Linked DNA regions of Lytechinus pictus. The protein of the gene in region 1 purifies or fractionates together with the protein of each later gene. This does not show direct contact. Links are inferred from orthologs where the notes say so. Each region holds a gene or a part of one and is shown on either strand. Other genes may lie near its edges. The genes, in order: intraflagellar transport protein 88 homolog, intraflagellar transport protein 25 homolog, intraflagellar transport protein 81 homolog and intraflagellar transport protein 46 homolog.

Region 1 (7,928 bases):
TATCATAATAATAATTATTATAATTATAATACTAATTGGGACAATAATGAAACGATGATGAGACAATAATAATATCAACAATTTATTGAGACCATAATAACAAGACAATAATGAGATAATAGACAATTGAAATCAATCTGTTTTTATTTTTTTCTAGAAATCCTAAGATTATTATTTTAATTCTCTTTCTTTGATTACAAATTATATTCATTGAAAACTTAATTTCTAATGTTCAAGCAAAGAAAATCAATATCAAGTCATGTTTACCCTGTGCACAAACCTACCACAGGGCAATTACCCCCGAAATAGGGTTAGGTTAGGTGTAGATTTTTGGATAGGGGTACAGTGTAGTTGTCCGGGGGGGGGGGGGTAATTGTCCAGGGGGGTGGGGGGAGGGGAATTGTCCGAGGGTGAGGGGGTGAGGGGTTATCGTCCAGGGGTAGTTGCCCTTGAACCAAAGAAATCATATGCCAATATGTCAAATCAATCTGAGTACTTTAAGGACGTTCCACAGTTAAAGTGAAATCCATGTCATTTTCACCAAACTTTGCACATAGATACTTTAGAACCTGAATAATCGAAATATGCATAAATTAACATGGGTCCATGTGCTTGATTTTTTGCTATAGAGCTTTAAAGGTTCATTCAAATGGATGTTCTCAAGAATTGCGCATTCAAAAGAATTTGGCATTTTTAGACCTCACGAGATGCACTACAGTGTGTTTAAACCTGTATTACTCAGTCAAAATCCATGAAAATTTCATCAAATTTCGCAAGAGAGTTAATAATTGTATCTTTAAGATTGGGAATCTATTTATAGTGCTATTTTTTTACTGTTTTAAGTCTAACAGCACTATCAGTTCTTAAAAAATAGCGTAAAAGATAACAAAAACCTAATATCAAAAATGTAAAGTTTCAATAACAAACTAGAAAGTGCAATAAATGCTGCACTTTATTAAAAATCCATGTCATTTTAACCAAACTTTGCAAAGTTGTAGAGGAAGGTATACTTAAGAGGTGCAAACAATGAAAAATAGGTGTTCATGTGCTTGTTTTCAAACTATCAGCACTTTTATTAGAGCAAATGTGCTTTTTAAAACACAAAAAACGCGCCAAATGCTTTGTATCCATCTGAAGAAAAATTAAAAACCACTCGTCCATTTATTCAAACTCGGGGTCATATTCATCATTCTTTGCAGCACTGCAGAGTAAAGTATTATGAAATTGTAGAGATACTTTTTAAAAATGCAATTTTTTTAGCTTCATAAAATAACGCATTGTGTTTGCAGCTAGATCAGATAAGGAGAAATATTAGCTCATACCTACAGCTAATTAATCACATGTTCATCCATTGTGACGTCAGCGCGCAGAGTGTAAAATATGCGCAGATCATAATGCGCACAAACATAACTGTGGAACGTCCTTAAGATTTAAATAAAAAGCTTGTACAATTCCCCATAAGCTATGTATTATAAATGTGCCATGCCCAAAACAAAGAGAATAATTAAGATTTCGCAATCTTTTGTCCACAAAAAGGCCTGTTTTTTCATCACAAAGATGACAATGACTCGACTTCTAGATATCGGAATTTGAAAATTCAAACAGTTTTGTGAATCGTAGATATTGAGCCTCATTGTGAGCCCATCAAATATGCTGGAACATCCTTTCGCTTTCCTAATTTTCACCTGAAGTGCCTAACTGTAGTGTAGCCTGTAGGCCTAGGCCTAGACCAAAAGCTTCGGTCTCTGTTATGTTGGTTGTTCAGCTGAACTCCGTTGGCTTCACTCACCAAATACAGAGACCGAAGTTTTAGCGCGATCTGTACAGGGGACTCAATGGCCATATGTTTATGTGTATTAAGTTCGGATAAAACAGGGCAGTGAAGTTGCGCGACAGCCGAGGTAAGTCACTGTTTTTGTTCCTTTTAACTTAATTTTCCCTGTTTTTTGGCAATTAATGCCAAGAGGGAATATTAATTTGCATTTCGGTCGCGTTAATTTTCAAAAGTTTGATTCATTAAAGACAAAAATTGAAGAGCCCCAACGGGGGGATTTTGTATTGTAAGTCCCCTAATGGTGGCTGCACGATAGCGAGCCGTCTGTGTATGAGGAGAAATTTAAAAAATAAAAAAAGGTTAAAAAACTCCTCGAAACAGACGGCTGCCAGCTGTCTAGCCTAGGCCCTACTATCTTTTTGAATTTTTGAAAAGTGCCCAAGCCAAGGCAATATTAGACAGCTGGCAGCCGTCTGTTTCGAGGAGTTTTTTAACTTTTTTTATTTTTTTTTATTTCTCCTCGTACACAGACGGCTCGCTAGCGTGCAGCCACCATTAGGGGACTTGCAATGCAAAATCCCCCCGTCGGGGCTCTTCAATTTTTGTTTTTAATGAATAAAAATTTTGAAAATTAACGCGACCAAAATGCAAATTAATATTCCCTCTTGGCATTAATTGCCAAAAAACTGAGAAAAATCAAGTTAAAAGGAAAAAAAACAGTGACTTACCTCGGCTGTCGCGCAAATTCACTTCCCCGTTTTATCCGATCTTAAGTACATAAACATATGGCCATTGGGTCCCCTGTACAGATCGCGCTAGAACTTCGGTCTCTGTATTTGGTGAGTGAAGCCAACGGAGTTCAGCTGAACAACCAACAACATAACAGAGACCGAAGCTTTTGGTCTAAGGCAATACCGGTATATGCCTGGCAATGCAAAATTATGGTCACCCCACGTCCACAGAGAGAGCAGAGTCAGACTCAGTCTCAGACGAGTCAGACTGTGACCAGTCACAAAGTAAAAAAAAAAGACAAAAAGCCCAAGCCCCAAGCCAAAGAAAGCCTGAATTTGGCCAAAAAAAAGGTGAATTTTGGGCCTGGCTTGGGGGTAAAAAAAAGAAGCATTATTTCATTTGGCAGACATGATGATGACAGAAAAATGTGATGGCAGACATGATGGTGCAGATACAGATGACGCATGCAATACGTCTAACGTTAAGCAATGGCCAAAGAAAATTAGAAATAGTAACGTTATTATTCTTTCAAAGCGACAGACGCGGCCGCGGCTCGCGACACGAAACGCCACCGAGCAAGCGACCGCGAGGGCGCCGGATGCCTCGGGTCAACTGTCTTCAACAATCCGCTGGCGATCAGCGTCACCGGTGGGCATGGAAACACGAAATGTGTGAAGTTTGTTAACCCATTTATCTAGGCCTACGCGCATTTTTATTTATATGACTTAAACATAACATATATCAAAGTCGGAATAGTTCAATTAATAACATATAAAACTTGAAAAGTGACCCAACATACCAATAAGTAAATTTCGAGAGTAGCGCTCGATATTTTCGTTGAAGGAATTTTTACCCAAGATGCTTTGCGTTTTGACGTTGACGGAGCAAAGACCCGAGATAACAAGACATCTCACTTCAGTATATTCAATATCACTGAGTCGTAATCCTTCGTGTCCATGATGATGTTTTATATCTTTTCCGGATGACCGGATCTAAATTAAAAAAAAATATATATAAAATAAAAAAGTAAAAAGAAGTAAAAGAGTTGTTTAAAATTTACACAACGCTGGTTATTTACTGTATGAACCTTACAGTAGTTGTTTAACTGAAACTTTAACAACTTAAACAATAAACTTTGTTAAAGATACATGTTTTTTTTTTTTAAGTTGATTTGAATCAATATGCAGTGGTGGACCGTGACCCGGAGGAGACAAAGCATTGGAGGGGCACAGCATTGTTCACAAACAATACAGTGCCCCTCCAATGCTTTGTCTCCTCCGGGTCACGGTCCGCCACTGTCAATATGGATATATAGTTAAACAAACACAATGCTGAAAATCGTATCAAAATCGGATATAAAATAAGAAAGCTATGACAATTAAAGTTTCACTTACCCAGAAGGAAAAACCAGTTCCCGCACTGGACCAGTTAGACCAGTATAATTTTAACTGGTAACTCTGGAAATTGGAACATCGGTTTACTGGTCTAACTGGTCATACTGGTCCAGTTAAAATTTTACTGGTCCAGTTAAAAATTAACTGGTCTTGAACTACTGGAATGTTATACTGGTCTTGTTTCTGGTGGCTGTTACTGGTCTCACTGGTCTTCATACTGGTTTCCAATTTCAGCTGGTCTTTACTGGTATTTTTTTACTGGTCTGACTGGTCCTCGAACTGGTCGAACTGGTCATCATACTGGTCTTACTGGATCAATTTATTACATGCATTTGGTTTGTTATATACCATGGTCAGTGAAATGTGATGGAAAAAATGGTTAGTAAATTAATCTTTCTGCTGTTATTTCAAATGTGACGTATGAAATTACACATTTTCATTGTGAATTAGTTTACACACTTATTTAGACAGTTTTTAAACAACAATGAGTGCCATTGCAAGGATATTCCATTCTAAATCCTGATTTTTCTTTAAAAAACAGGAAATATGCAAATGAGGTAAACCACGTGATCAGCATCATCAGAATTACTGGTCTTGACCAGTTCAATTTCAAACAATGAATTACTTTAGACCAGTTGACTCTATCAGAGGAATATATCTTGATTTATCTTAATCATTTAAAAAAGGAAATAATTATTTTAATGATAATGTTCATACTTGATAATTATGATAATATTAATAATAATAATTACAAAATCAATAACAATGATAAAAGTAATAAGAATGATAACAACAATGATCATAATAATCATAATAATTATATTAATTATAAAAAGAATGATGATAACAATGATAAATGATAACGGTAATAACTTTCTCTGAATTGCAAGATTCATTTTCCATAATTCGTCGTATGATCTGACTTGAAATAAAGTCATTATTTATTGGACCAGTACAACACCAGTTTGATGAAAAACAATTTAACTGGTATTACTACTTTGTTTGAACTGGTCTCCAGTTGATTTTTACTGGTCCAGTTAAAAATCAACTGGTCCAGTAAATACATACTGGAAACCAGTAAAAATCTACTGGAAACCATTTATTGGACCAGTATATAGCATCAGTTTGATGAAAAACAATTTAACTGGTATTACTAATTGCTTCAACTGGAATGCAGTTGTTGGAACTGGTCTCCAGTTGATTTTTACTGGTCCAGTTAAAAATCAACTGGCCCAGTAAAAATATACTGGAAACCAGTAAAAATCTACTGGAAACCAGTAAAAAAAAAAATACTGGTCTTACTGGTTTTTCCTTCTGGGTATTTTCACAAAACAGTTACACTATGCAAAAAAATTATGTAGGGATTGTCATGCAGGCATCATGCAGTCCCATGATGTGCAATTGTGCATGACAATCACTATTTTTTTGTATTTTATTGTAATGAAATATGAAATATTTGAATATCATCCTTTTGTCACTACGTGTAACAAAGTTTCATTCGAGTCATAACATTTTGTGGTTCAGTCAAGTTGGTAACTAGTCAAATTTGTTTAAAAAAAAAGAAAACAAAGAAATGAAACATCGTAAATAATTCAAACAAGACAAACAAACGAAATAGTGAGTGCAGAGGACATCATCAACTGTCTCATTTTATATCACTGTACATAGTGTACTGTTCAATGTGAAAATAAGTGATATTCAAACAATTAAATAATGCGAGCGTGAAGCGCGAGCTAAAAAATTGACATTCCGACCCCCCCCCCCCCCAAAAAAAAAAAAAAAAAATTATCACGAGCGCGAAGCGTGAGCGGAAAAATTGACTTTTCAGACCTAAAAACGAGACACTCTATTCATATTTTGTAAATCATGAAAACGATGGGTAATAGGTATTCTGATCTGAAACTGGATAATTTAAAAACGTTTCGACTGATGAACAAGCTGCGTCTGATCTCAATAAACATGCATGCGCGTTTTTTTTAAGATTTAGACCTATATAGAATCTGGTGGGTGAGTCATAAAGTTGTCAGCACTGACTAAATTTTCAGTGCTGATAATTTCAGTGAATCCTTGGTTTTGATTGGCTGAAAGCCTGAAAGGCACTGGCCTCTGACTGCTACTATGGTAATTGTCGAAGAAAGACAACTTGTCAGTGCTGACAACTTTCATGAAACGGTCCCCAGGGCATTCTGAATACATCATTTCATTCATTGATTTCCGTTTCACAATGTTGTAAATAATATAATAAACATAACATAACAAGACTTAATATCATATATAACATGCATAATTAGGTCTATATAAAATATACAGACAAATTTTTGTATTTTAGAGTAAAACGGAGAGGCTTGCCGAAAAAACAACTATGAAAGCCCCTAAACTTACAAAAAAATGATAATAGTTGTAATAATTATTTATATGTACACTTGGCAAAACAATCATCAAATGAAAAAAGCATAAAAATAAAATCATGACAAACAATAATGAGAGCGCGAAGCGCGATCGAGCTGAAAGTATTTCATATTCCAATCTGAAAAAGGGTAAATTCAAGCAATATTGGGACTATTTCAAGCAGTGCACTATGTATGAAAATTGTGAAGTGGGTGTGGATTTCACTTAGCGCGAGTTTTTATTATTTTTATCATATTTTTATTAATATTTTGACCTATATAGGACCGGGACATTATATGGACATTCTGACATCATATGAAAATGATCACCATCTTCATATTCATCTTCCCGGCGAAAACCTTTCATTTGAAAACACTATACCCCAGATTCCCTCAATCAATTCTCTTCTCCAAGTACGACAAACCATAACTGCCCCAAGCAAGCAATTTAAGTATCAAAACACCTGTTTCTGGTCCGAAGATAACACAACAGCCCGAGCAAAGCCAAAGCATGCCGTCATTTTAATTCACTTACTTTCCTTATTTCGAGGTCGATTTTCTTCGTTCGAACTTGAAAATGGACTAACATTGGATTTCTGAATACAATATGCATTTGAAAACGTGATTAAATATCGAATACAATAATTTCATTCCGAAGGTCCTACTACAGGCAGAGAAGTCTTACGTAATAGCACAGCTGTTGTTTATCATTTCGTCCTTGGCTCAACGCTCATAATCTGGCCTGTGGAGACAGCGGGGATTACCTGGCCTAGCGGGATTGATCAGGCGGGTGTTTCATAAAGCTGTTCGTAAATAAAAAGCGACTGGTGATCCTGTCTTGCGGTAAATGGTACACACCATTGGCGAAAATCTAGCGCGCGAGAAAGGATCACCAGTCGTTCTTAAAGTCGCTCTTAACTTACGAGCAGCTTTATGAAACGGCCCCCTGGGCTTGGAAATGATTTTGGGATTTACAAACGCAAAATGGGGTATAGAACCGCAGTTTGCAATCTGAACTGCGGTCTTTCTCCAAACGGGGGTTTGACGTAACGGCTAAGCGCGAGGTGAACTTATCAATATTCCATTCTAATATAAAAATAAGGGGGAAAATTTAGTTATTAGGAATTCATAAAAATGTTATTATCTTATTTATTAATCTATAATAAGCCTATATAATGAGAGCGTGAAATTTGTTAATTTTAAGGCCTGAAAACTGGACATTTTAAGTACTTTTGTAATCATGGATAGGATGCATGGGTTGGCTGTTGGCACGCTGTCCTGCCGAGTTCATACGGGAGTTACCTGTCCATAAACATAAACATTTAGCAAATAATATATAGTGACATGAAAGATTTTTTTTATTTTCCAGGCAAGCCTTTCTCTCACCTTATTTTATTCATTCGTCTCCCTCCTTTTACTCTGTTCTCTCTTTTTTCTTCCTTATTTCTCTTTCTTTCCCCGTTTTTGTCCTTTTTTTTTGCTCCGCCAATATAGAGCTCTGTAATAAACTGTGTTTACTGTGAGCAAGCTTATAATTCAAAGTTCGAGCTCTAATTCTTACAATTGAATATTGACAGTCATTATTTTTATCTGATTCACTTTTCATCAACCCTTTAGTTTTGTATAAATTCGGTCTCCAAA
Region 2 (8,110 bases), on another chromosome or scaffold:
AGTGACATCAAAGACGTAAATGAGATGATGAACTCCTGTGGGAACAATCCCGTGGTGGCCCAGAATGTCTCTGATTTGCTGGAGAAATAGGTAAAACACAGGGAAAAAAGCTCTCACATTATAGCACTGAAAAGTAAAAAACACATGAGTAGACTACCCATACATCTAGCAATGTCAACCTATAATTACCATTAACTTTTCATTCTATGGTAGAATACTTGAAAGTCAAATCAAAGTCAAGTGTTAAAGCTCTATTCTGCACAACAATTACCTGGCAATGGAGGATTATCTTTTGTTACTGGGGTACTCTGTACTGGGGTACTCTGACAATTCTCAGCACCCCAGTAACAAAACAATAATTACCTAGCCATGATGATATTTTTAAATATTTTTACATACACTTTTTCATCACAGAGCCTTGAAATGGTTGCCATATATGCATAAGCGAGACTTGTCAACAAGGATGGCTTTCCCTAGGAAATCCATAATTAGAGGGTGAAATCGGTTTGTTTCTCTTGATTTTATTTAATAATAGTTATTTATAATCAAGTTTCAAATTTTATTATTTGTTAAATAATAATTTTCATCTATAAATTGTTCTTTGAAACGGCATTTTGTAACATCGCTTATCGAAGCTACGTCATAACGAAGCGGTTCAAGGGTGAAGCCTATTGTATTTTTGGTGTTTACAAATGGATCGAGGGATCTACACAAGATCGGTCTGGTAAGAAACCTCTCCTTTTTCGTATTTATACTAAAATATTTTTAATCCCTTCATGTACGCATTAGGTGTATGAAGGTTCATAGATGAATAAAATCAAGAGAAACAAACTGATTTCACCCTCTAATTATGGATTTCCTAGGGAAATCCATCCTTGTTGACAAGTCTCGCTTATGCATATATGGCAACCATTTCAAGGCTCCCTGATGAAAAAGTATATAAAAATAATTATCATCACGGAGTCCTCAAGGCTAATAATTACCCATGGCCAGGTCTCTAATGCTGCACTGCTGTAACAGCACAAGCTTGGAACGGAATCCTGGGGATTGTTTCAGGAAATGGTCTTGGTAGAACCGTTCTACGTAGAACGAGATATCACTCAACTGTTTCACAAAGCCGATTTGGGCGATACGAAGAATGGTCCTTGGAAAGACACCTCCAGACATGTCCTACGTAGGCATGATCTTCTTTGCACACCGCCCGCCACCGTCAGCATTGATAGAAAATGCGTGACATATCAACATTTAACATTTTTTGGGGTCGTTTGATTGCACTCTGATGCATTTTATCAGGGATGGCGCCAAGTTATTTTTTAGATGGGGGCTGTTATTTCAACTGCTACGGGTAATAAATAATTGTTTTTAATATGTTTTCTTTTATTTTCTCACAGTCACAATTCTCCCTCTTTTCCCCCACCCCTTTTCCAGATTTTTTTCAACCCATCCCAATCCCAATTTTTGGACTGGTGCCTCAGAGTCTGAGGCGCCGGTCCAAAAATTGGGATTGTCCCAGAAAATAAGGATATCATCATAAACCAAGACAAATCATGTCTTGATGAATTGAGACTATCCTTGTTTATGGGGACAGGTTAATACCACTGCAGGACATAGAGACGGCAATTACGAGGCTTGAGAGTGCTAAAAATAGATTCAGTGACCTCAATTTCCCCCAGTTCACCGTCTATTTTTCACAACTTGCAATAATCTTGTTATGAAACCTGATATTATGTTGACATCGACTAGCGCACTGTTTGAATTCAATGGCGGCTAGGCTGGTGGCTAGGCCCTAGGCTAGGGCTAATGTTAGGCAGTTAGGCATTGCATTCATTACCATTTAAGCTTGTATAAGTCTACAGCAATATACTACAACTTGTTTTAGTTACTCTCCAATTACCTCCAGGCTACCCCCCCCCCATCCTGTTTGTGCCTCCACCATGTCCACCCCTCCAACGTAACATGTAGTAGCGTTAGAGGTCAAACGTTACTTGGTAGAACCACTATTGTACAGTCACATATTGTATTACCGGACAGTATCATGATTCCGGACGCGCATATTACTACGTACGAAAACAATTTTGTACCGTAAGACTTCCGCAGTTTAATTTCACAGAGCAATACATAGAACAAGATTGCAAAAACAAGGCAAAAAATCCAACTTTTAGTTTACCTTATTTATCTCTAAAATGACAGAAAATGCTTAAAATATCATATAACATAGTTTTGCAATAACAATTGATATATTTTCTGACAGAAATAAGGCCTGATTTGCCGAATTTCTTTCTCGTCCGCTCCTTTGATCGAATGTTGAGGTGCGGTGTATTGTGGGTGATCGTCGACGGCTAGTTCTCAAGGTACCCGTGCGCAAGGTTTACCGTGACTAGAGCTTTATTTTAGTCGACGATCGGCAGCGCATCGATAGAACTTGATGAGCATCACGATATACAAACGAGCATAATATTGGAAAGTGCCCTGGAATATGCAGTTAAAAAGAAAACATAAAATTAGTTAGCAACACAAATTATATTTCCAACATCTGCTCAGATTCGATATAAAAAAAAGCAAACAAATTTACTCATGATATGATATATTAAGAACAAAATCACACCAATTCTTCTTTACATCATTATAACAAAGAATATATTCTTAACCCGCCCGGCGCACGTCTGGAATCATGATGTAATTTGTCACGCACGAAAATATTTGTTTTTCGTGGCCGTGGAGGGGTAGGCCTATGCGAATGCGGCCTGCGGCAAGTGCGATGCAAAGAAAATGGTAGGCCTAGGTAAATATTAAATAATTTCATCATATTCATAATTTTCATAATATTTGGCACAGCAAGTGCGAAATTTTCTTCATTGCATTTCCTCTAGTTGTCATTTTTAAAGCACTGAAATAAAAAATTAAAGGTGTCCGGCAATACTCTTTTTTTTAGTTGAACTTGTAGTTCAGTGGGTAAAACTGACACGGTATTGGACACCTGGGACTAAGTATAGAATAAAATGAATAGTGCAAGCCCAATCAGGGCTATCTTACCCATCAATTATATTCTCGGGAGGAAAATTTTCATCACTTGACGTTGAAATAGGCACTTGAGCCCCTGCTTCTGCTAGCGCTACGTCAAACATGATGACCGTGATGATTTACCGAAATTTATCAGGTGTTTTTATTTAATCCCAGAAAATATGCGTCACCCGTAACCACGGTGTTTGAGCACGAGATGGCGTTCTTCCACTTCACTTTTAGTGCAGTGAAGTGAGATATTTTGAAGTTAATAGAGGAGTAAGGCAGGGAGATCCACTCTCTCCACATTTATTTATCATAGCGATTGAACTATTAGCTCATTATATCAGGAGAGATGATGAAAGTAAAGGGATAGGATTTGGGAAACGGGAAATAAAAGAAGTTCTGTATGCAGATGACATTACATTGTTTCTAAAAGATATGGATTCGATCCATAGAGTAAAAAAAATTTAAGTGGATTGAAGATTAATAAAACAAACTTTTTTGTGGTTGGGAGAAGAAAGAGATAGACCTAGTTTACCACTTTTTGGACATTGGTTACAACATATTAAAATCTTAGGGGTATATTTCGCACGGGATTCTAAAGTCAAAGATGATTTTGAACTATAAGGAAATCTTGAGTAAAATTAAAAGACTTATTGGTTGGTGGAAGCAAGAGATCTTACAATATTATGGTAAAATAAAACTTTTGAATGTGTATGCATTTTCAAAATTAAACTATGTTTCTTTCCTGATGATAGTCCCAAAAGACGTTTTTAAGGAAATAGAAAAAAAAATTCAGTTTTATTTGGGGAGGACACCAAGTCTGCCAAGACATTTTATAGGATCTTCAGTAAAAAGATTGTTAGTTTCACCGTTGTTTATATTCATTTTCATAAGATTTGATTTAGTCCAATTGATTTTTGGCCCAGCATATTTTCCAAACGTCTCGACTTCTTTCATTATCTTTGTAATGCATTGTGTGTGATGCAGGTTATGCGGAGTCTTATATACGTACGTGTTTTCCGTTGAGAAAAAAGAGGCGGTTTCAAACCGCCTCGATCACAAGAATCCCCGTTAAATTACGAGAACATTTTTAGGCTAAAAAATACCCATTAATTATTCCTGCATTCACATCGCCCCGAAACATACCCTTCGGGATAAATTCCTAAAGTTAGGAGCATGCGCGCGCAGCGGCAGTATGGTCTAATAAGCAGGCAAGGCGCGAGATTCAAAACCACTAGCCCAGCAGCCACCCACAGCGCCCGCGCCCAACGACACGCTGGGCTAAAAGTTCCCGTAAATTGCTTTCACATTGTCAGTACGCAATTTAGACTGAAATAATAGGGCATTTAGTTCCACCATCTTTATTCGCAAATTTTCAAGATATTTTTTTCGCAATGCGAACGTCAGTAGCTGACTAGAATGTCCCGGTTTTAGGTCGCAAACAAAAATAAGCTCACGCTTCGCGCTCGTAACAATTGTATATTGAAATCCCTTGAGATACATTTCTTGTAGGCCTACTTTAATCTGAAATGGGCTTAGCACTGTATGCCAGTTGTCAAGAGAGATTTTTCTATCACGAGACACTGCAAACAGTCATTGACAGGTCAGTGTAATCAGCTCATAGCACGAATTGTTTTTGGTATACACATCCTGCATCCTAAATCATTATTTGATTAGTGAAATATGTATCATATTCATGAGTCACTGCAAAAAAGCTAGCCATAGACTTTTTACAATTGATTTACACATAAAATATTTATATTTACCATCATTACTTTTAGCAATAGGGGAGACCGGGGTGAAGTGGGACAAAAAATACAAGTTGATGAATTTTCTCTTATAACTTTTCTTTTATTCAGAATTGGGAACTTGTGTTTTGTACCTTAAGACAACCGATGCTAGGCCACATGATGGAACGTTGGTTCATATTGCTGCAAGTCTCATATTTGTGTAATCATTGATTAGTAAAAAGCTTCTGAACGGGGAGAAGTGGGCCACCTCTGGGAGAATTGGGACATCGGCTGGGGTAAAGTGGGATGGCTAGGGAGAAGTGAGACAAACAATAAATAGGCCTACTAATAAGGTTGAGAATATCACATTGCGCATATATGTATATATATTATGAATATATATGTGCTTTTCATGTGTGCGTGCCTGTGAGTGTGAATGGGTGTGTGTGTATTTATGTGTATTTATGACTTACCAGATATGAAATGGATATGCCCCCAGAATACTTTTATTAATATGTTATCTTAGACATATCGAAAGAAAATGTAACTATCGATAAATGTCAGGTTATTCAATGCCCTTACTTTGACGTAATCATGAATCAGCCATCCACCAAAGCCAGTTATTATATCAGAGTCAATGTAAACCATATTACTTATGAGAAAATCCTAATTGCTGATGAATGCCATTGTAATCTCAATCAAAAATCAATCATGATCAACGCACACACCTCAGAGAAAATAATGCATTAGATCAAGACACATGTAAATGCTCCTCAAGTAAACTGGTTTTAACTTTTAATGCTGAAAACAACATTATTTGTAATTCAAACTGATACAATAAAAATTATGGCATTCCTTGACAGTGCTGTGGGATGTTCATCCTTTTTGTTCCTTCATAAGTATCAAAACTTGTGGATGAATAGATGTATTTGTGGTTTATTTTTTTTCAGCTGTTTTTAAAAACACATGTATATTTGTACTTTAAATTTGTGTGACATCCTCTTACATGTACAAGTTACAAGTAAGATATAAAAGTATATCCGAAGGGCTGAAAATGCAAATGTTGGCAACATATCCCTGTATTGGCATTTTCAGCCCTTCAGGTATTGTTGATTGTTGCTTTCTTCATATGCAGATATTTGTCTAAGTTAACAATGAAGGATCAGGTGTTCATTAAATTGAGCAAAGCAATTTGTTTTCACCAAAAGTATGTTGGTGAATGCTTCCCTTCCACACTTCACACCAATTTGGTGTCATTATTTTGGGAAATAAATCATAATCAACCTTTAGAAGTTCAAATTTTGTAACAAGTAAGGCTATACTGTTGTAAGCGATTTTGAAACTGGATGCTCTTTCAAATGTAAAATTAGGGTACCTTTCAAAAACGAAGTTAAAATATTTCAAGAGTATTAGTTACAATAATTCTCTGATGTGGCACAAGGCCACAAGCTAATACCTTTCATTGGTCTGGGGACATGTTGTCACATACAATTAGTGTAAGTAGTTTCAGGAAAAAAATGTCAGACTTTATAACTGTAACTCTATCATCAACAATTAGAACATTTATTAAAATCTAATTCAACTTGCCCATCCCGCCATAAGCTTTGAGCTAATCTGTCAACGCTAAACATTAGACCTACTGTGCATGGGGGAAGCAAATAACAAACACCGAACATAAGTTTCCTTAATTCAATATGGGAAACAACAAATTGTGTAGATGGGAATAGCCGTCTAAAACTGAGCATATATTGCAACCGTAAAAAACAGATGATATGTTTCAAATGTTGCTCATATTGTTTCACGATACCTTAAAGTCTTTTGTGTAGAGTATTTTTACTCATGAAATATGGTACATATTCCCCATCTATTTTCTGAAAATTCCTAATCTGCACATGCTACAGTAAAAATCCTGTCAACGTAAAACAAAAATTCTTAAACCATAACAGTTTGGGCAATATCCTTCACACTGAGATATGTGCAAAACTTGATCAACTTTTTCAACATTCTAGTTTTTCTGGAGAGATCACCAAGGAATGCTGATATTTAGGAGCTAGTCTTGCATCTTGGTTTGCGCGAAACTTGGCAACATATCTCCCGAGAGTTGACTTTTTTACGTCTGCTTCTTGGGCAGCATCTCGAATCGATTTCCCATCTCTCACCACTGCTTGAACAGCCTCCAACATTTCTGCATGGGACGTTAGTCCCATGCGAGTTTTTCGTTTGTAGTTCCTTGGCATGTTATCTGCAAAAGTATAAAAATGGGATGAACTGTTGACAGTACCACAACATATGACTTGACAAGTAGGTTCTCTAACAGAGTATTGATGAAGGTGATGTAAAAGTGTAGGCCTACTGCTTTAATTTAATTGATAGACTACATGTTCCTGAATAGATTGTGTTTGAATCAATTTGCCATACTTATACAAGGCCTACAATTATATGAACACAAGCTTCAAGAACTACTACCGACATGATTATGCCATATTGATTTAAAGTGATATGAATGTCATTGGTGTGAGGACCATATTGTATGACTATGGGGTAAGGTGGGACACAGTTGGGAGAAGTGGGACAGTAAAGGGAGAGGTGGGACAGTCATGTCCCAGTTTATCCCAACAAACACAAAAAATCTAAATGGCGGATAACTTTTCAAATTTGCACATTTTTGCAAAAACTTAGTATGCAAATTATTAGGACTAACAAGGCCTAGATAAAGCATGCTAAGTGTCTGCTAAAGCTATAAGAATAAATTCAAAAAGTACTTCACACTGACTGCAAAAAACTACAAAAAAAGTGTGAAAAAATAAAATTTAAAATTACACTTACCATGCAGGGGAGTTCTTGCGCTGTTGCTTCCATGTGGTTTTACTCTAATACCTAATGTCTATCAGGGGATAAGAACAGATAGCTGATTAGTTGAAAACTTTTCTAGATATAGGAGGTGTCCCACTTCTCCCGCGTCCCAGTTCACCCCGGTCTCCGGCCTACAATGTTTAAGAAATATACAGAACTTAATCTAGGGGAAGCTGAAAACTTATTTTTTGTCATCAAGAATTTTATGATTAATTTGAAATTTAAGTTTATTCATAACGCCACTGCATTATTGAAAATTCAAAAAAGGTTCCTGTTGGCATGTAAAGGTCCAGCATGGTGTTAATGCACGGCGCGGCCCAGATTATTTCCACTGTGGTAAACGGGGAGGGGAATAAATTTAAAGCGATCAAGCATGGAAATTTAATTTAAATTTTTATTTCCAGAAGACGAAATTACGCAATTCCTGGTCCCCTCTCAGGCTCTCCTTTTATCCCTGTCGATCCTTTTCCTAGCTAACTGTTTCCTCCCACCATGGACCTACTTCGGTCAAGGTTTGGGCA
Region 3 (8,638 bases), on another chromosome or scaffold:
CGCGTCTCATTAGGCATTTATAGATCAGATATTAATTGTAATGGTTAAATTGTCCTTTCTGTTTCATCTCGCGCTTAGCAAGAGGAATAGGAAGATATCCATCACTTTCATGTCCCGGTCCTTTGTCAAATCCATCAGCTCTTTATTAAGTGCGATCCAAATCCACCTCACAAAGTACTTGAGCTGAAATTGACCCCTTTTTCAGATCAGAATGTCAAATATTTTAAGGTCGCGCTTCGCGCTCGCTTTGATTTTCAATTTCATGTTAATATATATATTCAGAATTCCTAGATTGTAGGCCTAAATTGGAAACACGCGAGCGCATGTCTATCTAGATACTCAACTTGTTAGTATTTCAATCATTATCCAGTTTCTGAAAAACAAAATTCTGCTAGCGCTTTGTGCTCGCATTTTTTATGTAGGAAGAACCCCTATTACTCATCCTTATTATACAAAACATGAATAGAGTGTCCCATTTTTTAAGGTCTAAATCTCGATTTTTTCCCGCTCGCGCTTCGCGCTCGCATTAATTGTTTTATAGCGACGATCCTGTTCATGGTCACAATAATTGATTAAAATTTTCCATTCTTTATGTAGAAGTGTAAAAAAAAATCGGCTCGCGCTTGCATTATTTTATTGTTGAAATATGTAACGTCTCCATGGCTAAGTGAAATAAGCAGTCCTTAACAGGTACCTTTTTGATCAGTTCAAAACGTATACAAAAATTATGCTCGCGCTTTGTGCGAGCATTATTAAAGTAACAAAGATCGGCAATTTGGACATCCTTTCCATGATGATTTAAAAGACATGACTAGACATGTCTCGTTTTTAGGTCTAAATCTTCCAATTTTGTGCTCGCGCTTCGCATCAATTGCCAAGTTATATATACCTATCCTGTTTAAGTTACAAAAAGTGCCTATGATTTCAATTCTGTTCGCACTTCGCGTTCTTAGTAATTATTTAGTTGCATACACATCTTTTTCATGATAAACATTGCCCAGAAATTTCAAACTTTGGGGAAAAACATAATTTTTTTTAATAAATTAGCTCGCATTATATAAAAAGGTTATGATATCATATATTTATGTTGATTATAAGACAAAAGCTAAGAAGTGACAATTTCTTCATAGAAACAAATATAAATCATATTCGCGCGGCCGATTGGGGAAAAATAATGGTGAAAAAAAATTTGCCCCCCCCCCCCCTTTGGCTGGATCCACCCCTTCATCCTATTTATTTCTCTCCTTCCGTCCATCTCTCCATTCTTCCAGGAGCCGCGGAATGGTTTTGAAAAATGTTTTTTTTTATATTTCTACCAATAAAATTATTAATGAAAATAATGCGGTACAAAAATCAATGTCGTTCTTCTTCCTGTTTTAAACTATATATACGTGTACAAAAAACGCACCACCAGCTAAAAATAAAAAAAAAAAACCTGGGGGTCACAACCCGAGCACCCCACTTCCCAGGGCCATATACAAGGATTCTAATTTATTAATTTTAAAGAAAGCATGAGACATCATTTGTTGAAAAAAAAATTAAAGAGACCTATTAATGACTGCATGTGGTCCTACCGGTACGCTAGATCTGCGCACAAAACTGCTTTCATATGACACGCAAAAGGGATGAATCTTAGTGGAAAAGTGGAATAAAGCAAACAGGATTTAGAAACTGCCTTCGTTGGCGTTCAATAATATGGGTGGTATGATACAAATTCTGCTAGCTTATTCGTACTATTATTTCTGGCCATTGTACTTAGATCAAAATTTTAATGTGGAAACATTTTTATTTTTTTTTTTAATGATACAAATCGAGCGAGGCAAGGACAATGATATGGGGCAGAGTTCCAAGTCTTCATGCCCCAGACTGAATATATTTTGACATCAACTTACTCTAAAAACAAGTGTTTATGTTTTATTTTGTATTATTCATTTTTTAAATATAAGGTAAAATTATAAGTCTCGGAGTGTCAGTTAATGCTGCAAAAGATGTATAAGGCCTACTCTTTTGCAGCACTATCCAGCTACCGCGGCGAGGACGCCCTCCGAGAAGGTAGCCATATCAAAACTAAAAACAAAAAATTCCCCTTAGATTACTGGTGGATCCAAGGGGCATAATTATCGAGAGCCAAAATTGTAATTTGTAATATAAGCATGCCCTTTTTACCCAAGCATGCCCCCTTGAAAGTGAGGATATATATATATATATGCCCTATTTTTTTGCTTGTCAATTTTTAGGGACGAAATGACTTTCAATTTTTGGTAAAAAAATATTTTGTAATGCTCATCAAATTCGCATCGGGAAAATGTGCCCTCCATAGGCCCTGTCCCCCCTAAATTTGAGGTGGGGACCATTGGCAGCGGAAATCAAAAATTTAGGGAGGGGGACCACCAAAATTTTGTGACAAGCCCCCTCCCCAAAAAAAGTTTATCAACCCAAATTTTAGGGGAGACCACATGAATTTTTTAGGGGGGTCCACTGGAATTTAGGGGGCACGCAGGAAAAAAAATTGAACGGCAAAAAAAAAGGTTATCAACAAAAAAATTAGGGGGGGGGGACGATCGTCCCCCCACCTCAAATTTAGGGGGGGGGGCACGACCCCCCCCCCCCGCTGCCTATGGGGGATGTTGTTAGCTTTTTTGGGGGCTAAATTTTTTTTTCGGCCCCCCCCCCCTTTGATAACCTTTTTTTGTCAAAAATTTTGGTGCCCCCCTAAATTTTTTGACTGCCGCCGCTAAAAGTGCCCCCCCCCCCTTTGGAAATCCTGGACCCTCCCTTAATTGCCTAGATATAGATGTTTAAATAATTAATTATTTTGAAAGTCAGAGTGCCCTCGCCCCCCCCCCCATGCTTTAGTTATCATGGCATAAAACTTATGTCATATCTAATCCTTATATCAGCAAGAGGTCAGAGCATACTATCCGTCACCAAACGACTGCATTTGAGCCATTAATTTTCCCTTTTCTCTTCTTTCTATTATTTTCTTGTTATTTAATCACTGTTTATTTGTATAAGCTCGGATCTGAGACTAACTGATACGGTGAACGCACTTTCGTTCGAGTTGTGTATTTGCGTAATAATAGACCGAGGCGAGAAAGGACACGCCCACAATCCCTCGTTCAGTGCCGAGCTCTGTGCGTACGTGTCGACCAAATTTCAAAGAGAAAATTTGTACACAAATCTGTCACAATTCGGACCTAATTTCGCCTCAGATTAACAGATATTTAGATCTCTTTGGAACACTAAAAGTCATTCACTTGGGGTTTTTGAATATGCTGATTCAGGTGAGGTACTTTTCAATGCTTTTAAACATAGATTTAAAAAATTAGATTTTCGTTTTGGGATCCCTATTATAGGTGAAGTACGCCATCTTTTGACAAGATGATGAAGAAAGTGGACTGAAGGAGCGAGAAAATAATGCTGATTTCGATGATAATTTTTTCAAAACATGCGGAATGATAATCATCTCATTGCAATGGGATATAATCCATGTCGCACGTCGACATGTTACCCATTTACTGTGTAGCACGAAATGCCAGGCTCCGCACAGGTCACGGCAGCAATTCGGAGGCCGCTGATTATTGGTTCATCGTGCAGATCACGTCACGTTATGATTAGCCAGGAGGCTCCTAGAGAGTAAAAATCATTCACTAACGACAATGTGTGCTTGCTCTCCACGGAGCCAGGGATTGCGTCCCATTCATATGCGTGTAGGCCTACTGTGAAAAAAAAACCTGAAATTTTCGCCCCCGAGATTTCTACTTTCCTTCTAAAAGATCTAGCCCTAAATCATGTAAATGGCATACAACTTCATTTCCGACATTTCTAAAAATTGTTTACTGATTTCATTTTTATTTTTTAAACAACAATTCATAAAAAAATGGTGAAAAATATTTTAAAAAGACGGGGGAAACTTGCCGCGATATTTACGTCGCCATGTTGTTTTCTTTGCTTTTCGCCAAGCTATAAGACGCATATCCTCGATATGGAGCTCGTCACCACTTTTGTGTTTTTAACAATGCAAATAACATAAAATTTTTGTACACATTGATTCTTTACTCAAACATCTCACATTAAATGTGGGATTCCAAGTTCTTTTCCGGGAAAAACAAAGGAACCAAAATTGGCGTACCCTGTCCAATGTGAAAATTAAATTGAAATTGAATATGGGAGAGAGTGTTGATATTAAGAGAGCATGCATGCGCAAGACACAAGGCAATGGTTTTTGTTAATAATATATATGCTGTTGAGATCGTGGAATCCCTGCCTTTCTCATTTTTCAAGCAGCCATAACGTACTTATTTTGTGCCTGAAATCTTTCAAGGGTTCACTGCCCTGTTTTTATTATTTTTCATTTTTCACACAAGTCACTGTGTAGTTCAGATTCCTCAATATATACATGTACACGCTTCATGTTTTGATCTCTGTTGTTGGGAGATTACTGTACAGTGCGTCCACAAAAACGAAACCGAGATCTAGCAATGATTTATCATAACTTTAATCATAAAAAAAATAGACAAATGACCTACCAATGTAAAGCTTAGAATCTCCTCTTTCATCTAAAATAACTTAGATTAATGAGTGAGCAAAAACAATTTGAAGGAAGGATACCAAAAACTCATTTTGCGGGGGTATCAGAATTTCAAAAAGAAAGTCATATGCCTAAATAGTTCAATATCTGCTCTTTTATTTGATACCTTAATCACAGGAAATGGTCAAAAAGTAAAAAAGTTCTGTTCCCTCGAAACAATGCTTGTATTTCCATAATTTCATTAAATAAACATGTTTTCACCGGTTTCCCACAGAAGCTATCGCATGGTTAACAAAAGACTGATGCATGGCTGATTGTCAACAAAACAGAGTGTCGAGTGAGTCTGAACGCTAGCCTGTAAAACCTTTTCATTTTATGAAATTATTGAAATTCAAGTCTTATTTCAAATAACCAGAACTTTGTTATTTCTTGACCATTTTCTGTAAATTGAGGTATCAAATGAAAGAGCAGATATTGAAATTTTAAACAATGTGGTTTTCTTTTTGAAACCCAGATACAGCCCGCCAAGTGACTTTTTGGTATCCCCTCTTCGAATTGTTTTTGCTCACTCATGCATGAATGAGAAAGTTTACATAAGTTTTACAATGGTAGGTCATTTGTCTATTGTACTTGTGATTAAGTTATGATAAATCATTGATAAATCTTGGTTTCGTTTTTTGCGGGACGCACTGTATGTGGAATAATACTTGCACCTTTTTCTGTTTCTTCCCCATTAGGAAAGCATGTGAAGATTCTCTTCTGGCCATTCTCCCGGAACGACAATAACCTTCAAGAGATTCAAGATGAGCACCCAGCTCAAGTATGTGGTTGAGCAGCTCAACAAAGATCCCTTTCGGAGGAACTATAACCTGATCAGTTTTGATGCCTTAGAGCCACTTCAGCTGTTGCAGGTGCTCAATGATGTCTTGTCTGAAATCAACCCTCAGGTAAGATTTCACTGGACTTTTGAGTGCCAGTTCTGTTTGCGACTTTTACAAGTTTACTCGGCTGCAATTCTGCAGTTGAGTAACTAATGCCCGTCTCACACTATGCGATCCGGTGTGACACGATTTTTCAAGAAATCGCATTTTGCATTAAATATGAAAGTTCCAAGAAGTAAAATTATTGTATTTAAAGTTTGGCATATTGTTACGAAAACTAAAATCATATATTTACTTTGCGGCAAGCCCTCTGGTCGGAGTAAAGTCTAAATCGGCTTCAAGTCGCAGCCGATGATGACGTCATTACGATTTGGAATTGAATTTGTTTTTATTCATTCAGGGAGGCTCTAACTGGACTGAATTTTGATTTCAGTTGTCCTACCACTATTCTGAACTCTGATCTGTATTATTTTATTAGTTGGAATTATCCATATCAAATGTTATCACAATTAATTTGAAATTGGGATTGCAACAAATTGCATAGTGTGAGACGGGCATAAGAGTCGCAAGTAGAAAAAACAACATGGTTGCGCCCATGCACGGGGATTATAAGGTTATAGGCCGATAAATTCAAGTAAGAAAATTGGGAAATCTTGCTCAGTATGATTATTTTCCCAGCTCTACTAAAGGTTGGATAGTATTGTGTGAACGTGTCATATTTCTTCATTTTCTTTTCCATAATCATTGTTAACAATCATGTCTTTTGCAAGAACAGCCTGTTACACAGGCCACCATATTGTGCCTGATTTTTCACTGCAAAACACAATCTTACAATCTTGAATGTGGAAGTTGGTTCACAGTTAATTCGCGCGGAGGTCGCTTGCACCCATTGTGGCAAAGAAAGGTGTGCTAATTGTGACCTCAAATCTATGGCAGACATTCTAGAATTTGAATTTGTGATTTGAATGTGAATCTCAATTTGAATTTGAAATGGAAATTGACAAAATATTACTTTTGATATGAATGAATCCCTTTCCATATCCAGCACAAGTTTGATATCAAGGGGAAATACTGCATTACAGAGACAGCAATATAAGCTGAATTTGAATTTTGAAATCAAATAAAAAAATTATTTGATTTGAAATTTGGAATTGGAGTGGACATTCAAAGTGGATTTAACATCGAAATTTATATTGGTATTGAATTGCCCTTTACCCTCTCCAGCACAAGCTTGACATCAGAGAGGAAACACCAGATGCCACAGCAATGAGAATGCTGGCTGAACTCAAAGTCCTCAAATACAAGCCTTCGGTGGAGCCGTAAGTATCAATTTCACCCTTTCCTCAGTGGTATTGTGTAATTCCATTAGAAACCATATACAGTGGTTAAAATGCTGTTATGTCCATGCTGTGCATGTTGGTGCTTTAACTAGGGGTACTCCAGGGCCCCGTCTTCAAAGAGTTGCGATTGATCAGATCAATCGCAACTATGGACGGCCAGCAACGTCAATATCTATTATGCATGTTTGTTCAAAATATTTTCTAGCATAGATGATGTATATTCATGCATTCATTGTTTTCTAGAAAATTCACTGCACTTCTCTTTGCATACAAAGGTCATTGTGCATATTTTTCGTAGAAAAAAATTATGACACTGATGGATTTGTGAGACGGGGCCCAGGTTGAAAATGGTAAGAACTATGATTTGAACAGGTGAAGTAAAATCAGACAAACAACACTGTAAATTTCATCAAAATTGGATGTGGAAAAACAAAGTTGATAACATTTTAAAATTTTGCATTAATTTGGTGAACTATGCCCAGGGAATAATTTTCCTGGTATTGCATCGCAATTTGCTCCACATTTTTGAAAGACTGCTAGATGCATAAAGTCTTTTGTATAGCATATTTTTACATAGGACTGAAAATTACTTTAGTTGAGAGCTTTTGTCTTATGAGCAAAAATTCTATTCAAATTTGTAAAGCAAAATCATTCCCTGATGCCTGTCTTCATGAATATGCAATGAACAAGCTGATGATTTATTGTATTTTATTATTCAAATTTTGTCATCCAAGAATGATCGTCTGCTGATTTAATAAGATAACCATTGCTGCAACTTATTTCGTCACAAGGGAGATATATCACACACACACTTGTATGAGAATATGAAAATACTTATGATTTCATGTAATAACAAAGGAACAAGAGTACATTACATCATCAGCCCACCTATTGCATATTCATAACAGCGTGCATATAACTGTTTTCACAAAATGTTTCTAAACTTTAAAATTTATATTTGTCTTCGGATTTTGTTAAAATCATAAGATTTACTCTATAGATATCATGAACACGGTCAGAATGGACACCAATAGCCACACAACCATTTGTAAAACCCCCCTTAACAATCCATATGATCAATTTGACTAATTTCCCATTTTATTTTATTTTTTTATTAGGGCTACCTTTCGGCAGGGCCTTGTAGCTGGCAACAAGCCTGTGGTCTATTCCATCTTAGAATGGTTATTCCAGAAGATGCCCGAGCTGAAGAAGAGGGCGTATCTAGCCAGGTTTCTTGTAAAGATTGAAGTACCTGGGGAAATTCTGCAGGAGGAGGCTGTTATGGATACATACGCACAGGTGAGGAATGTCACATTTTTTTTAGTCTTTCTGTTTTTGTCTCACCTGCATAGCAGAGTGAGACTATAGGCGCCGCTTTTCCGACGGCGACGGCGGCGGCGGCGTCAACACCAAATCTTAACCTGAGGTTAAGTTTTTGAAATGACAGCATAACTTAGAAAGTATATGGACCTAGTTCATGAAACTTGGCCATAAGGTTAATCAAGAATTACTGAACATCCTGCCTGAGTTTCATGTCACATGACCAAGGTCAAAGGTCATTTAGGGTCAATGAACTTAGACCATGTTGGGGGAATCAACATCAAAATCTTAACCTAAGGTTAAGTTTTTGAAATGTCATCATAACTTAGAAAATATATGGACCTAGTTCATGAAACTTATACATAAGGTTAATCAAGTATCACTAAACATCCTGCATGAGTTTCACGTCACATGACCAAGGTCAAAGGTCATTTAGGGTCAATGAACTTTGGCCGAATTGGGGGTATCTGTTGAATTACCATCATAACTTTGAAAGTTTATGGATCTGATTCATGAAACTTGGACATAATAGTAATCAAGTATTACTGAACATCCTGTGCAAGTTT
Region 4 (8,507 bases), on another chromosome or scaffold:
GCGCCACCAACGACCTTCCTTTTTATTTCTGTGGAAGAGACATGCGAAGCCACTTTCCAGGCCGAGGTAAGCGATTTCGCTCTTTTTTATGTTCTTTTTATTTTAAAAAAAGATTGAAAATTGAACGCTTTTTACCAGAAAAAGCCCTGGTGAGTAGCGGAATGAGTTTCAGCTAACATTTGCGTTATGAAGTGATGTTAACCGACAACTCAAAAATCCATTGCGTACACTAGTGTACCTACGGGGGAGCAGTCTGCCCCCCCTGACGAGCCACAACCCATGCAAAGGACGTATTCCTGCCCCCCCTGATGAGCTTGAAAGACCTTTTTGCCCCCTGACGAGCTTGAAGACCTTTATTGCCCCCCCCCCTGACGAGCTTGAAGACCTTTTTTTTTGTCAATTTTTTTCTGGTACGAAATCCTTTATTTGTGATTGACTTTTTTATTTTATTTTTTTTCTGGTACGAAATCCTTTGTCTGTGATTGAGGACCTTATTTATTTTTTTTTTTTTGCTTGTCAAATTTTTTGGCGGACGGTTTTGCCCCCCCTGTGGAAAATCCTAGGTACGGCACTGATTGCGTAGACACGTTCGTAGCACTCGCACATATTGCGAGGTTAGTTAGTCCGGGTTATAATTGAGCAAGGTGCCACTTGGAGAAGGAGAAATTTTCATATAATGCTTCTAGACCAGTTTTTTACGCTGAATATGAATATATGAGGTAAACAGGCTGTATCCTGAAAATTAACCCGTGAGGGCGCTTTTTTCAAAATGGCCGCCAAATTTTCATAAAATTTGAATATTCGTACATAGATTTTGACATAAGCATCCAATTGCCATGAAGTTAGTGTCATATGAAAGCCAATTAAATTTCCTTCAATTTGATACTATTTATAGGGGATAAGCAGGTCATTTAACCGAGATTTCAAGTAGAAAACTTCATTTTTTGTATTTTTTCCCAAAAATTGAAAAGTTTGCAAATACATGATTTTACATAATTCTAAGAAAAATGAATTAATTACCTTGAAATGTTCCTGAAAACTGTACTATATTATTATCACATGGATGAAATTTAAACTCTGTATCATTTTTCTAAGCAAATTTATAAGGTATCAAACTTGAATTCTTCAATATCAGAAATGTTGCTTTTTGTATGCATTTCCATAGACTAATACGTATAACATGTATAATACATGTATGTATAATGTATAGTTAAAACTTAAATGCAATTATCTCCGCTAGTTAATGTAGGCTTTTCTCTATCAGCTACATAGAAGAAAGTGTTGGCACATCGAAGCCTAACACATTCTCATGGGGTGGGGGTGTCGAAGTCCCCCCCCCCCCACCCCGTGGCCATATCATGTTGTTGTATTTATTGGAAAATCACTATTTTCTGAAGCACCCATTGAGGCAAAAGGCAATTCTTTTTATACAGTACAACCACTTTAATTACTTTAAAACCACTTGGAGAGGAAAAGAGTAGGCTTTGTTCTCCCAGCTACATCAAAAGAAGTAGAACATCGAAGCCTACCTCTCTCGGTGGGGAGGGGGGGGGTATGGAGGTCACCCCTCCCCCTCTTGCTAATTGCTAATTCATTTGGAAATTCACCATTTTGGACCCAACATTGAGGCAAAAAAAGCGTTTGTGCATTATAATACACCCCATTTTATTGATTTGAAAGAGTAGAGTTCGTTCTACCAGCTACATAAATAAGCGCACTCACATCGAACCCTAGCCCTCTCAGGTGCTGTCAAAGTCACCCCCCCCCCTCCTCTATATCATGTATATTGCCTATTTATTGAAAATTACACCATTTTAAATCACCAATAAGGCAAAAGGGCATTTCTACTATACAGTGCGTATAGAAAAAAACGGGACAGATTTGAAAAGTCTATAAAATGTTTGTTTCAAATTATGATGTCTATATTTTGGTGTTAATAGGTGCTCTAAGGTCTTATCTTTCAAATGCTATTAAAAAAATTTAGTTTCGTTCATGCTTGAGCGAACACGGAATGTTTTTGTCTGGGGTTTAAAAGGAGGCTTGCACCAAAATGGCATAAAATTATAAATATGATGATCGGACTTCTTGCTAATTAGCAGACTTCCTCTTAACCTTTTCACTATCTTTGCCATGATTTTCAAATCATGCGGTCAAAATTCATTTTCAGATCTATTTATTTGCTTGAATTATTCTGTTGTTTCTTTTTAATATGCTCTCTGTTAGCTTTGAATATTCCTTCTTCAAGCTAAAACAATTTTGTTTCAATCGAATTATGGGAGAGCATGGATTTTTTTATTCAAATCCTTTCATTGAGTGCTACAAAGGTTATGGTGCCTTTTGAACAGTGCCACACAGATGGGCGGGCGCTCGGGATGTCCCCCCCCCCCCTCAAAAAAAATCATGACCAAGAAAAAGAGTGGACAGGAAATAAAAGGAAAGATAGAAAGTAAAATGTGTTATTTTCTAAATATTTTGTCAAAATCTATCAAAAAATTTGATATTGTAATAAAAAAGTGGGAATATTTGCGTGCTCACTTCGCTCGCTCACAACTTTTTAATACATTTTACCCGATCTTCCATATCTAGCTCCTTCAAAATTGACTCAATACATACAAGGGATTCATGTCATTGAAAGACATGAATCGCTTCCTGTGTTTACTGTCAAGCAAATAAACTTGGTCAAGGAATTAATGACCCCTTGAAAAAAAGATTCATGTCTTTTAAAGGTACATAACATAGTTTGTTTCACATAATAAAAGGATTTGAATAATCACAAGTTTTCCCAATTAATAATTCAAATCTTCTTGCTTGGGTTGACAAAAAATCTTCTTTTCTCAGTTACTTATGAAGGAAAATTAAAAGGTAAGAGAAGTTTAAATGAAAAAAACAAAATATCAATTAAATGAATAAATTTGTAAATGAAATTTGACAGCATAATTCGAAAATTGTGGCACAGATAATGAAAAGGACAAGAGGAAGTCTCCCGATTAGCAAGAAGTCTGATCATCTGATCATCATATTATTAATATTCTGCAATTCTGGCGCAAGCCTCTTTTTGAACCCCCAACAAAAACGTCCTGCGTTCGCTCAAGCATGAACAAAATTTATCTTTTTTAATTGCATTTCAAAGATAAGACCTTAGCGCATCTATTAACACCAAAATATAGACATCATTATTTGAAACAAAATTTTTATAGACTTTTCAAATCTGTCCCGTTTTTTTATACGCACTGTATGGTACAGCCAATTTTAATTTCTTGCAATGACTTGGATAGGAAAGAGTAGACTTTGCTCTATCAGCTATATATTAACAAGTGCTGGCAAATAAAAGCCTACCCCCTCCGGGATGCAGTTGAAATCACCCCATCCCTTTTGCATTATTGCATATTTATTGAAAAAAAAATCACCGTTTTGAAACCCCCATTGAGGCAAAAAGTCATTTCTGATTAGAACTCTGCCTTTTTTACTACCTTGAAACCACTTGGAGAGGAAACAATCATGGCAATAGGCTTTGCTCTATCATCCACAGACAAAGATTTGCTGGCAAATAAGAGCCTACTCCCTTCAGGGGACTGTCGAAATTACCCCCCCCCCCCTCTTGAAATTCACCATTTTGGAGCCCCCATTGAGGCAAAAAGGCGGTTCTGATATATAGTTCTTCCACCTTTACTGCCTTGAAACCACTTAGGGAGGAAAGAATAGGTTTTGCGTTATCAGCCACATATAAAGAAGATAAAGAAGTGCTGGCAAATAAAAGCCTACCCCCTCCGGGAGGCTGTTGAAATCACCCCATCCCTTTTGAATTATTGCCTATTTATTGAAAAAAATTCACCGTTTTGAAACCCCCATTGAGGCAAAAAGTCATTTATGATTACAACTCTGCCTTTTTTACTACCTTGAAACCACTTGGAGAGGAAACAATCATGGCAATAGGCTTTGCTCTATCAGCTACATACAAATATGTGCTGGCAAATACATGTAAAAGCCTACTCCCTTCAGGGGACTGTCGAAATTACCCCCCCCCCTCTTGAAATTCACCATTTTGGAGCCCCCATTGAGGCAAAAGGGTATTTCTGATATATAGTTCTGCATTTTTTCACCCTTGAAACCACTTGGAGGGAAAAGAATAAAGGCTTTGCTTTAAAAGCTACGTATAAAGCATATCCCCATCAGAGGACTGTTGAAATCACCCCACCCCCTTTTCATTATTGCTTATTTATTGAAAATTCACCATTTTGGTGCCCCCATTGAGACAAAAAGGCGGTTCTGATATATAGTTCTGCCACTATTACCACCTTGAAAGAGTAGACTTTCCTCTATCAGCTATATAAAGAAGTGGCTCTACTATATACCAGAAACACCTTTTTGCCTCAATGGGGGCTCGAAAATTGCGAGTTTTTCAATGAATTGGCAAAAATCGTAAAAAAGGTGGGGTTACAGCTACATGTATAGTCCCTGAAGTGGGTCAGGCGTCGATACGGCAGCAATTCGACATATATAGCTAAAAGAGGAGAACCTACTCTTTGCTCTCCAAATGGTTTCAAGAAAATGAAATCGGTTTTTTTTATACAGCAGAAGTGCATACTACCTCAATGGGGGCTCAAAATTGTGAATTTTCAAATAATTAGGCAATAATGCAAAAGGGGTGGAATGGTTTGACAGCCGCCCAGATGGGTAAGCTTCAATGTGCCAACACTTCTTTATATGTAGCTGATAGAGCAAAGCATATTCTGTCCACCTACTCTTTCAAGGCAGTAAAAGTGGCAGAACTACATACATGTATCAGAGATTCTTTTTTACCTCAATGGGGGCTCAAAAATTGTGAATTTTCCAATAAATAGGCAATAATGCAAAGGGGAGAGGGGGTGACTTTGACAGCCCCCAGAAGGGGGTAAGCTTTTATTTGCCAACACATCTCTATAGCTGATAGAGCAAAGCCTATTCATTCCTCTCTAAGCGGTTTAAAGGCAATAAAAGTGGCAGAACTATATATCAGAGACGCCTTTTTGCTTTAATGGGGGCTCAACAATAGTGAATTTTCAACAAGTAGCCAAATACCGAAAATTAGTGAGGTAACTTTTACAGCCTGAAGGAGATAGGCTTCGATTTGCCAACACTTCTTTATATGGAGCTAATAAGGCAAAGCCTACTCTTTCCTCTCCAAGTCATTGCAAGTAAATAGAATTTGCTGTACTCTATAGTAGAAACGCCCTTTTGCTTTAATAGGTGATCCAAAATTGTGAATGTCTAATAGATAGTCAAATACCGAAAATTGGTAAGGTAAATTCTACAGCCCGCTGAACATTCTGAAGGGGAGAGGCTTCGATTTGCCAACACTTCTTTATAGCTGATAGAGCAAAGTCTATTATAATACTCTTTCTTCTCCAAGTCATTGCAAGAAAATAAAATTGGCTGTACTATATAGTAGAAACGCGCTTTTGCCTCAATGGGTGATCCAAAATGGTGAAATATCCAATAAAATAGGCAATATACATGATATAGAGGGCGGGGGGAGGGGGTTGACTTAGACAGCCCCTGAGAGGGCTAGGGTTCGACGTGCCAGCGCTTATATATATGTAGCTGATAAACTCTACCTTATTCTACTCTTTCCTCTCTAAGTGGTTTCAAATCAATAAAACGGGGTGTACAACAAAGCACAAACGCTTTTTGGCCTGAATGTTGGGTCCAAAATTGTAAATTTTCAAATAAATTGGCAATATTAAGCAAAAGTTCCCCCCCCCCCCCCCCACCCCGAGAGGGGTAGGCTTCGATGTGCTACTTCTTTAGATGTATAGCTGGTAGAACAAGCCTATTCTTTCCTCTCCAAGTGGTTTCAAAGCAATCAAAGTGGCTGTACTGTATAGCAGAAATGCCTGTTTTTGCCTCCATGGGTGCTCAAAAAATATGTAATTTTTTTAACAAATAGGCAATATACAACAACATGATATAGCAAAGGGGTGACTTCGACACCCCCACCCCCATGAGAGGGTCAGGCCTTGATGTGCCAACATTTTTTTTTATGTAGCTGATACAGAAAAGCCTACTCTTAATTCTCCACGTGGTACAAGCGGAGATAATTGCATTTAATTTTTAACTACCGGTAAACATTATACATACATGCATTATACATGTTATACGTATTAGTCTATGGAAATGCATACAAAAAGCAACATTTATGATATTGCAGAATTCAAGTTTGATACCTTACAAATTTGCTTAGAAAAATGATACAAAGTTGAAATTTCATCCACGTGATAATAATATATTTTAAAAGTCTTCAGGAACATTTCAAGGTAATTGATTCATTTTTCTTAGAATTATGTAAAATCATGTATTTGCAAAATTTTCAATTTTTGGGAAAAAATACAAAAAATGCAGTTTTCTACTTAAAATCTCGGCTAAATGACCTACTTATCCCCTATAAATAGTACCAAATTGTAGGAAATTTAATTGGCTTTCATATGACACTAACTTCATGGCAATTGGATGCTTATGTAAAAATCTATGTACGAATATTCAAATTTTATGAAAATCTGGCGGCCATTTTGAAAAAAGCGCCCTCACAGGTTAATTTTCAGGATACAGCCTGTTTACCTCATATATTCATATTCAGCGTAAAAAACTGGTCTAGAAGCATTATATGAAAATTTCTCCTTCTCCAAGTGGCACCTTGCTCAATTATAACCCGGACTAAGTATAGTATACTAACCTCGCAATACGTGCGAGTGCGTTAGTCCTACAACATCGTTGGAGTAAACTAAACTTAACAGACTGTTTCATTCAAAGTAGACCAAAAGCTTTGGTCTCTGTTAGTGTTATGTTGGTTGTTCCACTGAACTCCGTCTCCGGCGTTGGCTCCAGCCTCCTAGAGATGATCGCTACTTGACGAATCTCAGCCTCCGCAACCGCTTTCACAGTGCACGCCGCCTCAACAATGACTTCGCTGCAGCAACTGGAGTGATTGTTTCCACTCAAACAATCCGTAACCGACTTCACAGAGCCAAAATGCATGCCAGACGGCCAGCTCAGTGTGTCCCACTCACCCCTGCTCACAGAAGAATTCGTCTCAACTGGGCCCGGGAGCATGTCAGATGGACCAGACAGCAATGGCGTAGAGTTCTGTTCACAGATGAGAGCAGATTTTCCCTTGACCACAATGATGGACGTTCGAGAGTCTGGAGGCGACCAGGAGAGAGATTTGCAGACCCCTGTATTGCAGAACATGACCGTTATGGTGGAGGCATCGTCTTGGTGTGGGGAGGCATCACCTACGCCCGGGGGGGCCACTTACATTGACGAGTGGATACCATGCGCGACCAAGAAAACACGTAAAAAGGGTGTCTTTTTCAAGATAGGGCACGTTACGTACGTAACGTGATAAGGGTGTCAAAAACACAAAAATAATGAAAAAAGGGTATCTATTTCGCTAGGAAAGCTACGTGTTTAGGGTCACATTTGCGGGGATGATAAAACAAAATTAAAATGTTGTATAAAGGATGTCCTTTTTGCACCAACACTACGTGTTTAGAGTCCTGATTTGCGCGAGGTGAGGAAGGTGGGACCTTACTAAACCAAATGGTGTGTAAATTAGGTAAAACCGACGACCGACGGACCCGGCCGTGACACAACAATAAAATATACTTGTTAAGGGGTTCATTTCAGGGACTCAATACTTGCCAAGAGTATAGTTTTGTTTCCAATACTTGTTAAGGGTAGGGTTTCAGACGCCAATACTTGTTAAGGGGTGCATTTTCAGAACATGGAAAATACGTGTTTAGGGTGCTTTTCGAGACCCCATGGTCGCGCATGGTATCCACTCGTCAATGGAAGTGGCCCCCCCGGGCACCTACGCCAACCGTACTCGTCTCTACGTGGTCCCAGGGGGAGCAATGACAGGAGTGAGGTACAGGGATGAGGTCCTTGAACCTATAGTGGTGCCATTTGCAGAAAATGTGGGACAAAACATCATTTTCATGGATGACAATGCCCGTGCCCACCGAGCTAGGGTGGTGACCGAGTTCCTTGAGGGCCAGGGGATTGAGCGTATGGAGTGGCCAGCGAGGTCCCCAGATTTAAACCCGATAGAGCACGTCTGGGACATGATGGGGAGGAGTCTCGAGCAGCTCGAAGCCCATCCACTTGGACTGCAGCAGCTGGGTGTGGCTCTGGAGGCTGCATGGGATGCACTGGACGTCAGAGACATCAATCGCCTCATCAGCTCCATGAGACAGCGCTGTGAAGCCGTTATTGCTGCAGGAGGTGGTCACACTCGTTACTGAACTGCCTGAAAGACACTCAGACATTCGTTTTTACCACTTCATGTCGGTAGCTGATACCCCTCGGGGCCCACTTTTCAGGATGTGCAGTGATGCGAGAGACATTGTGCAACAACTGAAACCACCCATGCGTGAAATTGATTACAGCGTGTTTAAGGACATTTAGGACAGTTGTACTGAGGTATTTCCAGAAATAAAACACCTTGTATAAAATCTTTATGTACGTTTTAA

The links.
Region 2: the proteins of intraflagellar transport protein 88 homolog (region 1) and intraflagellar transport protein 25 homolog purify together in Homo sapiens (affinity purification with mass spectrometry; 3 studies listed by BioGRID and IntAct, with this or other methods). This does not show direct contact. The link is inferred for Lytechinus pictus from reciprocal best matches to the Homo sapiens genes IFT88 and IFT25.
Region 3: the proteins of intraflagellar transport protein 88 homolog (region 1) and intraflagellar transport protein 81 homolog fractionate together in Homo sapiens (co-fractionation; 3 studies listed by BioGRID and IntAct, with this or other methods). This does not show direct contact. The link is inferred for Lytechinus pictus from reciprocal best matches to the Homo sapiens genes IFT88 and IFT81.
Region 4: the proteins of intraflagellar transport protein 88 homolog (region 1) and intraflagellar transport protein 46 homolog purify together in Homo sapiens (affinity purification with mass spectrometry; 3 studies listed by BioGRID and IntAct, with this or other methods). This does not show direct contact. The link is inferred for Lytechinus pictus from reciprocal best matches to the Homo sapiens genes IFT88 and IFT46.

The regions. Positions count from the first base shown.
Region 1 is NC_087248.1:15,232,292-15,240,219, forward strand, and holds the start of intraflagellar transport protein 88 homolog, read right to left. Parts: upstream 3,442-7,928; 5' UTR 3,306-3,441; intron 1-3,305. UniProt on the Homo sapiens protein: Positively regulates primary cilium biogenesis. Also involved in autophagy since it is required for trafficking of ATG16L and the expansion of the autophagic compartment.
Region 2 is NC_087255.1:5,607,980-5,616,089, forward strand, and holds the start of intraflagellar transport protein 25 homolog, read right to left. Parts: upstream 3,328-8,110; 5' UTR 3,126-3,327; coding exon 3,034-3,125; intron 79-3,033; coding exon 1-78. UniProt on the Homo sapiens protein: Component of the IFT complex B required for sonic hedgehog/SHH signaling.
Region 3 is NC_087260.1:11,012,211-11,020,848, reverse strand, and holds the start of intraflagellar transport protein 81 homolog, read left to right. Parts: upstream 1-5,255; 5' UTR 5,256-5,334; coding exon 5,335-5,478; intron 5,479-6,636; coding exon 6,637-6,731; intron 6,732-7,870; coding exon 7,871-8,051; intron 8,052-8,638. UniProt on the Homo sapiens protein: Component of the intraflagellar transport (IFT) complex B: together with IFT74, forms a tubulin-binding module that specifically mediates transport of tubulin within the cilium. Binds tubulin via its CH (calponin-homology)-like region.
Region 4 is NC_087252.1:34,530,384-34,538,890, forward strand, and holds the start of intraflagellar transport protein 46 homolog, read right to left. Parts: upstream 3,379-8,507; coding exon 3,337-3,378; intron 1-3,336. UniProt on the Homo sapiens protein: Forms part of a complex involved in intraflagellar transport (IFT), the bi-directional movement of particles required for the assembly, maintenance and functioning of primary cilia. May play a role in chondrocyte maturation and skeletogenesis.